2 linked regions of the Sus scrofa genome follow. The protein of the gene in region 1 binds, or shares a complex with, the protein of each later gene. Links are inferred from orthologs where the notes say so. Each region holds a gene or a part of one and is shown on either strand. Other genes may lie near its edges. The genes, in order: TAF3 and TAF12.

Region 1 (7,549 bases):
TATAGCAACTCAGTCAAGTAAGCAAGGCAGGTAACATTAGCCCCTTTTGAAAGGTCAGGAAGCAGCCACAAAGAGGCTAAGAGATTGCCCTGTGGTGCCCGAACGCCTGCTGAAATGCCTCTTTCTAACGCCAAGCCAGTGTCTCTGACTTCACCACGCCACCTCTCAAGGTAGCTGACCTCAAGCAAGCGGAAAGAAGACGTAAGTAGCAGATGAATGGTGCTAGGTCAGAGGTTTACATTTTCCAAACTCCGAGAATTAAAATTTTGTTTTGAGGAGTTCCTGTCGTGGCTCAGTGGTTAACGAATCCGACTAGGAACCGTGAGGTTGCGGGTTCGGTCCCTGGCCTTGCTCAGTGGGTTGAGGATCTGGCATTGCCGTGAGCTGTGGTGTAGGTTGCAGACGCGGCTTGGATCCTGCGTTGATGTGGCTCTGCAGCGGTGGCTGCAGCTCCGATTGGACCCCTAGTCTGGGAACCTCCATATGCCACGGGAGCGGTCCTAGAAAAGAAAAAGACAAAAAAAAAAAAATTGTTTTGAAAGTTCTAAAAAAAAAAAGTACACCTTTCTGTCATTTCTGAGGATAGTAGCCATATAATAACCCATCTCTGGATTTGTAGGGGTTTGTGTGTGTGTGGTATGTGCGCGTGTGCACCTGTGTGTGCCTGAATTCGTGTACACAAGAGGAAGAGGAAAAGAGAAAGACAGGGCTTCGTCAGGTTAGGAGAAGAATTAATAAAGGAAGCAGAGGGCACCCGGGAAATACTTAGCAAGCTCCAGATCCCGCAAGGAGGGCCACGCCTCTGGAAAGGAGTAGAGTTTGGTGTCTGCTGTCCTGAGTCTCCACTCTTTGGACAGCAAAGGGGTGTGAGTCTGCAAGATCCTAGGAAACGTACCGCTTCACTCTCTAGACACTGTCCGTAATTTCTTTTCTTTCCCTGAAGTCATGTTCAAAGCATTGTTTTTATTTCTCAAGGTTTTAAAAAATATGTATATTCTAATAACTTCTTTTTCTTCCTTTACCAGAAGAAGAAGAAGAGCAGGTGCCCACCGATGGGGGCACATCGGCAGAGGCCATGCAGGTTCCCTTGGAAGAAGATGACGAGCTGGAGGAGGAGGAAATTATTAACGATGAGAACTTCTTGGGTAAGAGACCGCTGGACAGTCCGGAAGCTGAAGAACTGCCTGCCATGAAGCGGCCTCGCCTGATAAGCAGCAAAGGAGACACCCTGGACGTGGTGTTGCAGGAAGCCCGAGAACCGCTCAGCTCGATCAACACCCAGAAGATCCCGCCAATGCTCTCTCCCGTCCACGTCCAGGACAGCGCGGACCTCGCGCCTCCGTCACCAGAGCCGCCCATGTTAGCTCCGGTGGCAAAATCACAGATGCCAACCGCAAAGCCACTGGAAGCAAAGTCGTTTACCCCCAAAACAAAGACTAAAACTACTTCTCCAGGACAGAAGGCTAAATCGCCTAAAACGACTCAGTCACCAGCAATGGTCGGAAGTCCTATTCGGTCACCAAAAACTCTATCCAAAGAAAAGAAGTCTCCTGGACGTTCTAAGAGCCCCAAAAGCCCCAAGAGTCCCAAGGTTATGACTCCTCTCCCCCAAATCCCCATCAGACCTGAAACACCAAACAGGACTCCTTCAGCCACAGTAAGTGAAAAAACGAGTAGAGAGACCATTCAGGTAAAACAAATACAAGCTCCCCCCGATGCTGGGAAACTGAACAACGAGACTCAGCCGAAAAAGGCCGTCGTGACCGATAAGACCATTGACGACTCCATCGATGCCGTGATTGCGCGAGCTTGTGCCGAGCGGGAGCCAGATCCTTTCGAATTCTCCTCTGGATCAGAATCAGAAGGAGACCTTTTCACCAGCCCGAAGAGAATTTCAGGTTCAGAATGTACTACTCCGCAAGCTTCCGCCTCCTCAAACAACTTCCCCAAGTCAGGGTCCACGCCTCGGCCTCTTTCGGGCGGAACCTCGAGCTCTGACAACTCATGGACCATGGACGCCTCCATCGACGAGGTGGTCAGGAAGGCCAAGCTGGGGACGCCCCCCAGCGTGCCCCCCGGCTTCCCTCCCATCTCCTCTCCTTCCATCTCTCCTCCCACCCCCGAGCCTCTCCACAAGGTGTACGAGGAGAAGCCCAAGCCGCCGTCCTCCGCAGACGTCAAAAAGAAGTTGAAAAAGGAACTGAAGACGAAGATGAAAAAGAAGGAAAAGCAGCGAGACAAGGAGAGGGACAGGGACAAAAGCAAGGACAAGAGCAAAGAGAAGGGGAAGGACAAGGAGAAGGAAAGGGAAGCCAGCAAGGAGACCAAGCATCCTTGGAAGGACTTCCTGAAAGACGAGGAGGCCGACCCCTACAAGTTTAAGATCAAGGAGTTTGAGGACGTGGACCCCAAAGGGAGATTGAAAGATGGACTCGCGAGAAAGGAAAAGGAGAAGCATAAGGATAAGAAGAAAGACAGAGAAAAGGGCAAGAAGGACAAAGAGAAGCGGGACAGAGAGAAAGCGAGGGACAGAGGGCGGGATGAGAAGCTGAAGGTGCCCTCCGGCGCCCTGGCGCTGCCCCCGAAGGACGCGGCGCTGCCCCTGTTCAGCCCCACCGCGGCCCTGCGCGTCCCCGCCACGCTCCCGGCCCTGTCGCCCCTGCTCCCCGAGAAGCTGCTCGAGGAGAAGGAGAAGCCCAAGGAGAAAGACAGGAAAAAGGACAAAAAGGAGAAGAAGAAGAAGAAGGAGCGGGAGAAGGAGAAGGAGAAGAAGGAGCGGGAGCGGGAGAAGGAGAAGAGAGAGCGGGAGAAGCGGGAGAAGGAGAAGGAGAAGCACAAGCACGAAAAAGTAAGCAGCTCCCCTTGGGGCCCTGGGGCCCCGTCCCGACCGAGCCCTGGGGGGAACACGGGTACTCAGAGCCGGCCGCTGGCCTGCCGTTTGCCGGGGAAAGCACTCACAACCTCACTGGAAACATGTCTTGCCGTGTGTTTACAAAGCTTAACTTTAATTCTCAAACCCCGTAAACCTGTCCTCAAGCCCCCTAGACCCTGGCAAACGTTAAAAATTCATAGCCTGGGAGGACGCCAATCACAGACCATCAGCTCTCTCTTAACCGTACTGATCTCTGGCCGGTATAAAAATCCGTGACCCTCAAGGCAAGTAATATTTGTGTCATTATCAAGCCCAGTGCAGACTCCTCTCTACCCAAACATTAGACACCCGAAAAGGCAGCGTCCACTTTTCTGAGAGTCGCAAACCTGCGGCACTGTCCCAAGGGGACAGGAAGGCCTCTGGGGTCCTTCCTCGCCCACTGGCTTTTCGTCTTGGTGAGCCGTCCTGGCCAGAGCGCAAGGTCTGGCCTGTCTCCCTGTAGGAGGATCTTGTCTCCTCTTTCCCGCTTCAGTCAGACCAGGACGTGTCTCTGAGCATCCAGCTGGCCTGGCAGCTGGTTGGCGGGTAGAAAGTCCTATTTCCCCGTGTAAGCAGCCAGGCTTCTGGAGAATACGGCCAAAGGAACCGAGGCACACCCCGCGGTCTCACGGGAACCCAGACCCTCATCCTTTGGGCACAGGACGGGACCTCTGCTTTTATAGCTTTGCTGTCTGTGCACGGTTTGGGGACTACAGTGGTTGCCTGGTTGATTTGAAAGTTTCCTTTAAACTTTCTTAAAAAGCATAGTTGTCTGTGGTGCATCTGTGATGATCCTTAGATTCTTGCTCTGTGTTCTGGAAACACTCCTCTTTGAGGCTGGCTACAGAGTAATACCCAGTAATTTTTTCCACATAATAAAGCATGCTCTGTTTGACCTACAGCAGTTCTATTACCAACACTTTTGCAGTGTTTTTAATTTCAGGCTTAACTGGAAAACTTAGTTTGGCTGACAAGCAGAGATGACCACTCACCCGTTTTTCTGCCTAACTCTTCTTTCTGTGTCCCTCTTGGCTATTATTCTAAAATATAAAGAAGTGGGATGGAAATTCCGACATTGATAACTGAATATTGGCAGTTAAGGAGACACAGAAATTCAGCTCTTTTTCCCCACTTGGAAGTCGTTTTATCATTCAGTTATTTCTACGTGGTACCTGGAAGATTTTAAGGTGCTACCACATAACTTAGTTTCTCCTCCTGACACACCCTTGACCTAGCAGCAGGTATTGTCATCAACATGTATAGACGAGCAACAGCCTGCGTGACTTGTCCAAGGTCAAGGTCACACAACCAGCAGGAGCCAGGTCAGGTCCACACTGACTGACGTCCCCTTGTGCAGTGTTTACTGCTCCTGATCCTGCCTGGCAGCAGTCAGCACTTACCCATCAGGTGCCTGGGAACTTGGCTCATGAGCCCTTGGCAAATCAGGGTGCATTGCTTTCACCACCACCTCACCTTTGGAAAGTCAGTGGAGTTGCCCAGAGTGGCTGTTACGGATTTGAGGAGAGCCCGTCAGGTTAGATGGAGCGCGGTCCACGGCGTGCCTACCCAGCACCTGCGGACTTTGGGAAAGACGAGCCCCTCACTCAGACCACTTGGGTCGGAGGTAAAGGCTCCGTTACGAGCTGCAGGCTTCACCTGACAGAGGAATACAAGTCCTTGTGTCAGTGTTGATGGATCAGCCTGGTGACAAAAGATAAAAACATGTAAAAGGCAGCCATCGGGGCTTAAACAATAATAAACAGTATTGTGTCTAGAGGCAAATCCGGGTTCCGGTCCTGACTTTTTCAGCCCTGTGAACTTGGGCACATTGCTTATGTGAGGATTAAAGGAGCTGGCATCTGAGACTGGCCTGCTCCTGTTTCTGGCGCAGAAAGAAATGCTCAGTAAGCGGGGAAGGTGGGGCTGGCCGTGGCGGGCGTGGTGGTTCCCTTCGGCGTCAACCCGAAAAACGTATAGGAACCTGCGTCGAGTTCACGGCTCCACTGGACCCGAGGGACCGACCTGTGCACAAGAGGGTGTCAGCGATGGCTACAGTGTTTCCAGAGCGTCTGCTTCCTTGGCACTCTTTTAAACGTTGGCCCTTTTTGTGGCGAGGGTTTGTGTAACCCATGGAACGCCTTTGACAAGGAGTAGACATTGAGAGGTTCAGGCTTCTCTTTTTTCAACTCCCCTTCATCCTCTGCAAAGTACCAAGCCGTGTGAGTGAAGGAGAAGGTACTTGAAACTGGGTTGCATGTGATCTATGACTTTTCTCAGGTATCCACAGAAGTAAGACAAGAGTTAATCAAGACGAGACATATCTAAGCTGCCCCCCAAAAAATGTAGTCAAAAGAACGAGGGCCACCGTTTGCTTACTCCTGCTCCCGACCAGCTCGCAGAGCAGCTCCGTGGACAGTGACCCCGGTCAGCGAGCAAGGCCATTGGTTTTGTTTGTTTGTTTGGCTGTACCTACGGCGTGTGGAAGTTCTCGTGCCAGGGATCGAGTCTGAGCCACAGCAGTGACCCGAACTGCTGCGGCGATGCAGGATCCGTAACCCCTAGGCCCTCGGGAAATTCCAAGGACACTGTTTTTTAATTAAAAAAAAAAAAAAAAAACCCACCCATGTTTATTTTACCTACCTGTAAAGTTTTCTTTAGTCATACCTGTATTTATCAGTACAAGAACAAATAAAGATATCATTAATTAGATGAGAATCTGCATAGCAGTTAGGACAAGGCTTGGGCTTTGGAATCAGGCAGGCCTGAGTGAGGTGTTTTAGTTTCTTTAATCCTTAGGTATTTCATCTTTGAAGCACCATAAATAGCACTTTTTGAAAAACTGAGTTTTTTGAAATACTCAGTAGTATTAACTATTACGTTTATATATATTAAATAACCTCAGTAAAACTGGTTTGTGTCATTACTGAAACACCGTGTATAAGTTTAGTTCTTATCACAACTCCCTCAGGTAGATAATATAATTACTGTCCCTTTAAGATAAGAAACTGAGTCTTAGAGATGAGACTGATAAACTTGCCCAAGGTCACACACCCAGAAAGTGATTGAACAGGAGCCACAGCTTCAGCCCAGGCCATCGGCTGCTAGAACCGATGTCTTTAAGCAGGTATGGTGGTTTACAAGTCTTTTAGTTGCCTTTCATGGGCAGCCGTGTGCTTTAGTCGGGGTCAGGAGTCTGGTATCTCACCTGTTTAATGTAGAACCAAATGGAGAGCTCTGTGGTGGCCTAACAGGTTGAGCATCCACTGTTGTCACTGCTGTGGCGTGGATTCACTTCCTGACCCCAGAACTTCTGCATGCCATAGGCAAGGCCAAAAATAAATAAATAAATAACCTTGTATGGAAAACATATTGAGAGCAGTCACAGAGTTAACCATAGTAGCTTGAGCTGTGAGAAACCTAACAGAAAATTTCAGAGCAGTTAATTTTTTTTTTTTTTTTCCTGTTTTGCTATTTCTTTGGGCTGCTCCCACGGCATATGGAGGTTCCCAGGCTAGGGGTCGAATCGGAGTTGCAGACAGTGGCCTGCGCCAGAGCCACTGCAACGCGGGATCCAAGCCGCCTCTGCAGCCTACACCACAGCTCACGGCAACACCGGATCCTCAACCCACTGAGCAAGGGCAGGGACCTAACCCGCAACCTCATGGTTCCTAGTCAGATTCATTAACCACTGCGCCACGACGGGAACTCCTAAAATTTTTATTATAAATTTGTATTTGTGTCAGTGTCTCTATTACAGGACTTAATTTATTTCAAACCATGGTTCTTGGGGATTGCGATGGATGTTAAAGAACTACTTTAACTAAAATTTACTCTTGCTGTTTTAAGTGAAAAAATAAGAAAGCATCTCATTTTTAATGTTAGTGGAATTGAAGTTCATTAACCTGATGCAGAAGATAAGCCAAGGAGTTCCCGTCGTGACACAGTGGAAACAAATCAGTGGGTTAAGGATCCGACGTTGCCATGAGCTGTGGTGTAGGTCTCGGACGCAGCTTGGATCCTGCATTGCTATGGCTGAGCTGTAGGCCGGCAGCTGTAGCTCTGATTCGACCCCTAGCCTGGGAACCTCCATATGCCGTGAGTGTAGCCCTAAAAAAAAGCAAAAAAAAAAAAAAAACCCCAAAAAAGAAGGCAAGCCAAAATCCATCGGTCAGACTTGGAAATACGTCTTTATGATCCGAGAAGACCCAGCAGAGTTTCACCCTGAAACGGTGACGTCACAGACTGTGTATAGAAAGGCCCAGAGCTGGGCCGCGAAGAGCTCGGGCTTTGGCAGTCGGCCTGCCTGGCTTGGGCTCCAGCTCTCCCGCTCCTTAGCTCTTCCTCGGCCTCTCCGAACATCTCTGAGCCTCAGCTTCCTTCCCTGTCTGCTTCCTCCCGTTCGGTGCCCAGAGGGGACAGCATGGCTCTAGAAACAGTGGTTTCCTACCTGTTTCCAGAATCTGTTGGCCTTTGAAGGCCTCCCCTTCTGCCTTCTCACAGGAAACACTGAGTAAAAACTCGTTTGGGTCGTTTAAGATCCATCAGTGGCTCTGACAGTCCAGGGGTTCCTTACAATCACCAGTGAGGTTGACGAGCAGCCCGCGGAAAATGGAGATCTGTCTGTAACGGAGAGCTCAT
Region 2 (7,549 bases), on another chromosome or scaffold:
ACACCCCACCAACCCTGCCTCAGAGCTGGCACACATGTGGTATGAAAGTGATGCTGGAGTTCCCGTCGTGGCTCAATGGTTAATGAATCCGACTAGGAACCATGAGGTTGCAGGTTCAATCCCTGGCCTCGCTCAGTGGGTCAGGGATCCGGAGTTGCCATGAGCTGTGGTATAGGCTGGCGGCTACAGCTCCAATTAAACCCCTAGCCTGGGAACCTCCATATGCCGCGGGTGTGACGCTAGAAATGACAAAAAAGGAAAAAAAGAAAAAATAAAGTGATCCCCGTGCCTTCCCCTGGGTCCCTCAAATTACAGCTCAACTGCACAGACGCCCTCCCCAGCCCTGGGAGCCTCTCCTTTGCAGCCCTTGTCACAGAGGCAGTTTTCCTTTCACCCAATGGCAAGATCACTCCTGTTTCCATTCATCGTTGTAGGCCATGCCTGGCAGGGGCAGCGGTGCAGCAGATAAATACTCACTGAATGAACAAGCCTCTTGGTGTGCACACAGGACAAGACAGCGCAGCTGGATGGAGCCACTCACCTGTCACACAGCTGGTTAAGAACCGTGGTCTTTTGACCCTACCCGGCTTTTTCCATTAAACTGCCTGATTCCCTTGTCCCCTTCTGTCCTCAATGGAAGACTCAAAATTAATTCTGGATTCCTTCTTGCCTGCGGAGACCAGTGACTTGCTCCTACTGCTGGAACTTGGCGGGAGGCCTTTTTCACCTTTGTAATCACAAATAGAACATGCTTTGACAGCGTCCCCCAGCGGCAGCAGGAGGTTCTGGAGAAAGAAAACCCTCAACATCCTCTTCCTGGTGGCAGGCCACAACAGTGACCTGGTGGCTGAGCGACAGGTGCTGCTGGAGGAAGGGGAAAAGCTGGCTGCCTCTTTGGGCACTCACTACCTTGAGGTATCAGCCAACAGCAATGATGACATCAAGAGATCTACGAGGCTGTGAAGAGAGGGGTCATGGGGTCAAACTCAAAGCGGGAGAGAACAAAAAGCAGGGGCCCACCCCGGACCAAGCCTGAGGAGGCAGAGGCCCAAAGCAGGGCAAGGTGGATGTGCCCATGCTGGTGGCCCCTGGGTGGAAGAGCCACGCTCCCATGGAATCCTCACAATCCACCAGAGCTATGCTGGGCACAAAACAGGATGATGCCAGGTGCCACTGAAGGTCAGGACCTTGAGGTCTCAAGGGGCCTGGTTTCCTCCGCACGATGCTGAAAATACCAGGATCAGGGAGAGCAACAACTAAGAACAGATAGGCGCATGCACAGAAAGGCCTTTCCTCAAGGCCGCTGCCATCCTTTCTTAGGGTCAAGGATAAAATCCAGAAGTTCCAGAAGAGCAGGTCAAGAATGGATTTCCCAAAACCAGGATGCCTCTTCAGTTTGGGGCTCATGAGAGAAGGTCACCCTGCTCAATTCTTATGGCAGAGAAGCTGGACTCAAAGTTCTCCTGGTGGTAAGGCCTTCCTTGGAGAAAAATAATGGAAAAATCCCTGGGTTTTGCCTCCATCACAGAAATGAATAATGGTGCTGCCATCTGCTGACTAAAGAGCCACATCCAGCCTTGCTTATCCTATGGCATTTTAAAGGCTAGAAGCCATACACCCTGTGTCTTTTGACTAATAACTTCTTTATTCTGGAAAAGGAAATGAAAATCATATTCATATAAACACTGACATTACAAAGTACAGGGAAAAGGGGAAGGGAGAAGGAAAAAAAAATCTCTAAAATCTTGTTAATACTGCCTCACCAAACAAGACCATAATGCTTTGTCCCCTAGTCAATCACTTATATAATAAACCAAATAAAATCTTCTCTGGAAGATACACTGCTCTTCTTTGAGACGGGAGGAAAATGGGACTGGAAGTTGGGGTAGGAGGCTTTATTCTTTTGGCAGATCTTCTCAGTCATTATAGATATTGCTGCACTGTTAATAAAAAATATATGCTTCTCTGTAAAGCATTAAAAAAAAAAAAAATCCAAGGATGAGATGGCTGAGGTCTCAGCTCAAGTATCTCCAAATACATTGTTGTCCATTCCCTGACCTTTCCATGTGTTATTTCTTGGTTGTTTTCCGGATCAATGCCATTCTCTGAAAGGAGAGAAATAAGCAATTCCACAAGTTAGAGTCAGGAATTTTCTAGACCATCTATGTGTGGCTGCACCACAGGCTGAAACCCTCAGGAATTTATAGACACAGGGCAGCTCAGCAGACTCTTGGCTCAAGCACAGTCTATGGGGTCCTAAGAAATGTTTCACTAGGCCACTGGACCCATTTTATTGACCAAAAGACCCAAACTCCTCTATGCTAGCAGTATGGCAAAAATTAAAAAGTAGGAGTTCCCGTCGTGGCGCAGTGGTTAATGAATCCGACTAGGAACCATGAGGTTGCGGGTTCGGTCCCTGCCCTTGCTCAGTGGGTTAACGATCCGGCGTTGCCGTGAGCTGTGGTGTAGGTTGCAGGCGCGGCTCGGATCCTGCGTTGCTGTGGCTCTGGCGTAGGCCAGCGGCTACAGCTCTGATTCAACCCCTAGCCTGGGAACCTCCATATGCCGCGGGAGCGGCCCAAGAAATAGCAACAATAACAACAACAACAACAACAACAAAAAAAGACAAAAAAAAAAAAATTAAAAAGTAGAAGGTGACAGCTCTTGCCTTTTGAGGATTTAAGGGACAGGCCATCAAAACATGTTTTCTATGCTTATCCTCCCTTCCCCACTGTTTCTCTGATGATAATAAAACAGTGATGAGGCCTGTGTTTCAAGCCTGTTGCTACACATAAAAGGAACTGAGGAGTTCCCATTGTGCCTCAGCAGGTTAAGAACCCAACTAGTCCATGAGGATACAGGTTTAATCCCTGGCCTTGCTCAGTGGGTTAAGGATCCAACACTGCCGTGAGCTATGGTGTAGGTCACAGACACGGCTCGGATCTGGTGTTGCTGGGGCTGTGGCATAGGCTGGCAGCTGCAGCTCCTATTTGCCCCCTAGCCTGGGAATTTCCATATGCTGCAGTTGCAGCCCTATTAAAAAGAAAGAAAGAAAAAGAAGCTGACATTTCACACTCGATGATATACAATGAAGGAAAATGACCTCAAGGAGTTAAGGATCCGACGTACTGCCGTGGCTTGGGCTGCTGCTGTGGCGAGGGGTTAGATCCCTGGCCTGGGAACTTCTACATGCGGCAGGCATGTCCTGCCCAGTGACCCCAACGTCTTCCACTATAATCCATCAGGGAAACATTTAGATCATGGGTTTCAAATTTTACTATTATCAGCCAAACTAATGACTTGCCTTTGCCTAGTCCTTTTGACTAAGCGATTGTTTCAACATTATAAAATTTATTGACTGATAAATAAATAAGGCTGAACATTTGGGACCAGAGACAATGCCTTCTGAAGAACACTGCAATCCTTTGATGCAGGCTGTTGGTGGCCTCCTTGTAGGGCTTCTCTATGAGCTCTATAAACACCCCTGCTCCAGAGACCCCAGGCTATGGAAAAGCAAGGTATATTTAGCCAGGACTGCCCACTTGTGCCTGTCAAGCTTGGAAAAAGCCTACTTTCCAATCAGAGTATCTGGTTAAATTAAGACTTGTCAAATGGAGGCCAACATTGCTATCAGACTGACCAATGACAGAGACAGCTTGACCCCTCAGTTCTGCAGTAAGATGGACAGAGGACAAAAGTTAAGCTGGGAAAGAGGCCCGAATGCCTGGGTGTCACCTCCTAGCACAAGTGCAACACACTTCTGCTTTCCTTAAAATTCCCTCAATATGATGTTCAAATCAGCAACAATGAAGGAAGATTTCATAAAAGAGAGGTGGTGGTGGTGAGTTCCACCCATATTAGAAAAACCTAGAATCAACTGCTTTAAGTGACACCCATCAGAATTGAGGAAAAGACCTGAGACTCCATGTGGGAACAGCAAAGCACCCAGGAAATATCAGGCTGATCTCCCATGGAGCCTTGCTGCTTCTTGGCCTCTCTGGCCTTTGGGGAAAGTGACACCTGCAGTGATGGTAGCTGTGTGCATTCCCTCTGAGACACAGCTCAAGGGCTCTGATGTGGCTGCCCTGAGACCCTGAAGACTTCTCACCTGTTTATGAGCTTCTGTGGTGCAAGCTTTTTTGTAGGGTCGGATTTCTTCAGAGCCGAACCCTGGGATCCACATGTTCCACTGGCGTTCTGCAAGGAAGAGGCCCACACAGAGTTAAGAGGACCAGGAAGGCAGCATGAGGGGCAGTGTGACCCTCAGACAAGGGTCAAGAAGGACTAATCTGGGTGATCAACTGAACTAATTAACAGGAACTCTGCCGAGGGTTCTATGCAACACAAATGGGGGAATTGCATATGACGCCTCCAAGGTTTTAAAGAACACCATTTGAACTTCTTGCAAAGAAAAAAGAGGTAAATGAGTCAAAACTTTGAGTGTAGGGGTCCTATGGTTTCCATGCAGCTCTACAGGAAAGGAACATTATCTGTTTCTTCAATGGTCTTGCCCCCTATGCTCAAGGTAACCCCTCTCAAATCCAAAGGAGCAGGAACAGAAAGGCACTCCAAACAAGGTGGAGTTAAGAGTCAAGTCCCAGCTCTACTGCTTCACTGTGGAGCAGTATGATGTTGGGTCTCAGTTTCTTCATCTTTTATATGGTAGTAACAACAGAAATAACCATGTGATCGGGTGGGTGGTTGAGAGCCTTCAATGGCATAATCCCAGAGCCTGGGATAAATACATAGAGATACAGATATAGACACAGGCATGTCCACATCATAGCTCCATGTCCTTGTGCCATTGGACATGACTATCCCTATAAGACTGTCACTAGGAAGTTACCATCCCTGTAAGACTGTCACTACAAGTTACCAGTCTTTCTTCCTTCCTTCCTTTTATTTTTATTAAAAAAAAAAATTTTTTTTTTTTGGTCTTTTTAGGGCCACACTTGCAGCATATGGAGGTTCCCAGGCTGGGGATCAAATTGGAGCTGTAGCCACCGGCCTTCACCAGAGCCACAGCAACTCAGGATCCCAGTTGCGTCTGCAGCCTACACCATAGCTCACGGCAATGCTGGATCCTTAACCACTGAGCGAGGCCAGGGATTGAACCCACGTCCTTGTGGATCCTAGTCAGGTTCGTTAACCACTGAGCCATGAAGGGAACTCCCCAAAGTCCAAAAGTTTGATCAGGTTCCTGCAGGCTCCTAAAGGAACTAAAGTGTGGATCCCTCAGGGGGAAATGAGACCACCTACCTAGATGCAGCTGGACATCCTTTACTTCCAGTGTGCTGGACTTGCGATGCCGAGCAAGCTGGCAGGCTGCTGTCACCACGCTCTCGATAAAATCATCAGCGATCTGCAGCAGCATCTGGGGGAAAAAGGTGGGGGAGAGTAACCAAGACATTGGCAGGGTAGGCTCCTGTTGCTGGGACAACTGAACCGCATATTTAGTCAGGTTTTCTAGCAGAGGGTCTGGAAATCAACATTTGAGCGAAGGTGGGGAAAAGGACTGAGGACAACAAAAGAAAGACATCAACTCATTAACCAGGTGGAGAGAAACTCACACCTCTCTGAGGATGTACTTTCTGTATTTCTACCCAGCAGGGAACAACCAGCCCACCCCTACCCACCCCCCTATATCTTCTTCTGAATTACGTAGGAAAATACAAGTGAATCACTAATTCCTCATTCCTTTATTTAATTAATTTATTTACTTATGGCCACGCCCACAGAATGTGGAATTTTCCAGGCCAGGGGTTGAACCTGCACCACAGTAGCAACCGCAACCTGAGCTGCTGCAGCAATGCTGGATCCTTAGCCCACAGCATCACAAGAGAATTTCATCTTTCATATTCTAAAGGTTTTTTGTTTTGTTTTGTTTTGTTTTGTTTTGGTCTTTTTAGGTGCCACATCCATGGTATATGGAAACTTCTAGGCTGGGGATCAAATCATAGCTGTAGCTGCTGGCCTACACCACAGCTACAGCAATGCCAGATCCAAGCTGTGTCTGCAACCTACACCACAGCTCAGAGCAACACCGGATCCTTGACCCACTGAGCGAAACCAGGGATCGAACCTGCATCCTCATGGGTACTAGTCGGGATCCCTAACCACTGAGCCACGACAGGAACTTCTCCACACATGTGGCACATGTAACAGTGGTTTAACAAATTCTCCGAGTACCCGTTGTAGCTCAGTGGCAACAAATCTGACTAGCATCCACAAGAGCACAGGTTCGATCCCTGGCCTTGCTCAGTTGGTTAAGGATCTGGCTTTGCCATGAGCTGTGGTGTAAGTTGCAGACTCGGCTTGGATTCTGAGTTGCTGTGGCTGTGGTGTAGGCTGGCAGCTGTAGCTCCGACTGGACCCCTAGCCTGGGAATCTCCATACACTGAGGGTGTGGCTCTAAAAAGACCCCCAAAAAAAAAATTCTCATCTACCATAATAGGAAGTCTATGACTATTATAAAATTAATTAACCAAAAATATGTTTAAATATACTACTTAGAAATATGGAGGAATGTTCTAGAAACAATTAAAATTGTTAAAAGTGAGTTGAAAATTGTTAAGACTTCCTACCAACACAGGAGGAAGCTGAATCTCACCCACAGAACCAAAACTCAAATTCAGATTTGTTTGCCTCTGAAGTCTGTGCTTTTATTTATTTTTTTTTCTTATGACCACACCCATAGCATATGGAAGTTCCCAGGCCAGGGACTGGATCTGAGCCACATAGCACCAAACTGGGGACTGAACCCACACTTGTGCTGCAACCCAAGCCATCAGAGTCGGATTCTCAACCCACTGTGCCATAGTAGCAACTCCTAAAGTCTGTGTTCTTTTTTTTTCTTTTTTAGGGCTGCACCAGGAGGTTCCCAGGCTAGGGGTCCAGTTGGTGCTACAGCCGCCAGCCTACACCACAGCAACACAGCAATACCAGATCCTTAACCCACTGAGCGAGGCCAGGGATCAAACCCCCAACCTCATGGTTCCTGGTCAGATTCGTTTCTGTTGTGCCATGAAAGGAACTCTCTAAAGTCTGTGTTCTTTTTTCTTTTTTTTGTCTTTTTTGTTTGTCTTTTCTAGGGCCACACCCATGGCACATGGAGGTACCCAGGCTAGGGGTCTAATCGGAGCTACAGCTGCTGGCCTACGCCAGAGCCATAGCAACTCGGGATCCGAGTAGCGTCTGCGACCTACACCACAGCCCATGGCAATGCCGGATCCTTAACCCACTAAGCAGGCCAGGGATCAAACCCGCAACCTCATGGTTCCTAGTCGGATTCGTTAACCACTGCGCCACGAGGGGAACTCCAAGTCTGTGTTCTTAACAGCTATTCAATACTACTTCTCAGTGACACAGTCTCTAGGGTACCCAACCCCACTTTACCTCCTCCACATCTTCATCCAATTGCTCATTAGGATCCACTTCTCTTACTAAGTCTTGTAATTTCTTCTTGGTCAATACCTAGAGTTAATTGGAAGAACAATTTTCAGCCAAGTATCAAACAAACAAACTCATTACCCTATAATGAAGACTGACA

The links.
Region 2: TAF3 (region 1) and TAF12 share a complex: the UniProt entries of both Homo sapiens proteins name them as parts of the TFIID basal transcription factor complex. The link is inferred for Sus scrofa from reciprocal best matches to the Homo sapiens genes TAF3 and TAF12.

Annotation. Positions count from the first base shown.
Region 1 is NC_010452.4:63,455,234-63,462,782, reverse strand, and holds part of TAF3 (transcription initiation factor TFIID subunit 3), read left to right. Parts: intron 1-1,025; coding exon 1,026-2,848; intron 2,849-7,549. UniProt on the Homo sapiens protein: The TFIID basal transcription factor complex plays a major role in the initiation of RNA polymerase II (Pol II)-dependent transcription.
Region 2 is NC_010448.4:85,617,057-85,624,605, forward strand, and holds the end of TAF12 (transcription initiation factor TFIID subunit 12), read right to left. Parts: intron 7,474-7,549; coding exon 7,396-7,473; intron 5,375-7,395; coding exon 5,260-5,374; intron 4,198-5,259; coding exon 4,109-4,197; intron 2,106-4,108; coding exon 2,070-2,105; 3' UTR 1,623-2,069; downstream 1-1,622. UniProt on the Homo sapiens protein: The TFIID basal transcription factor complex plays a major role in the initiation of RNA polymerase II (Pol II)-dependent transcription.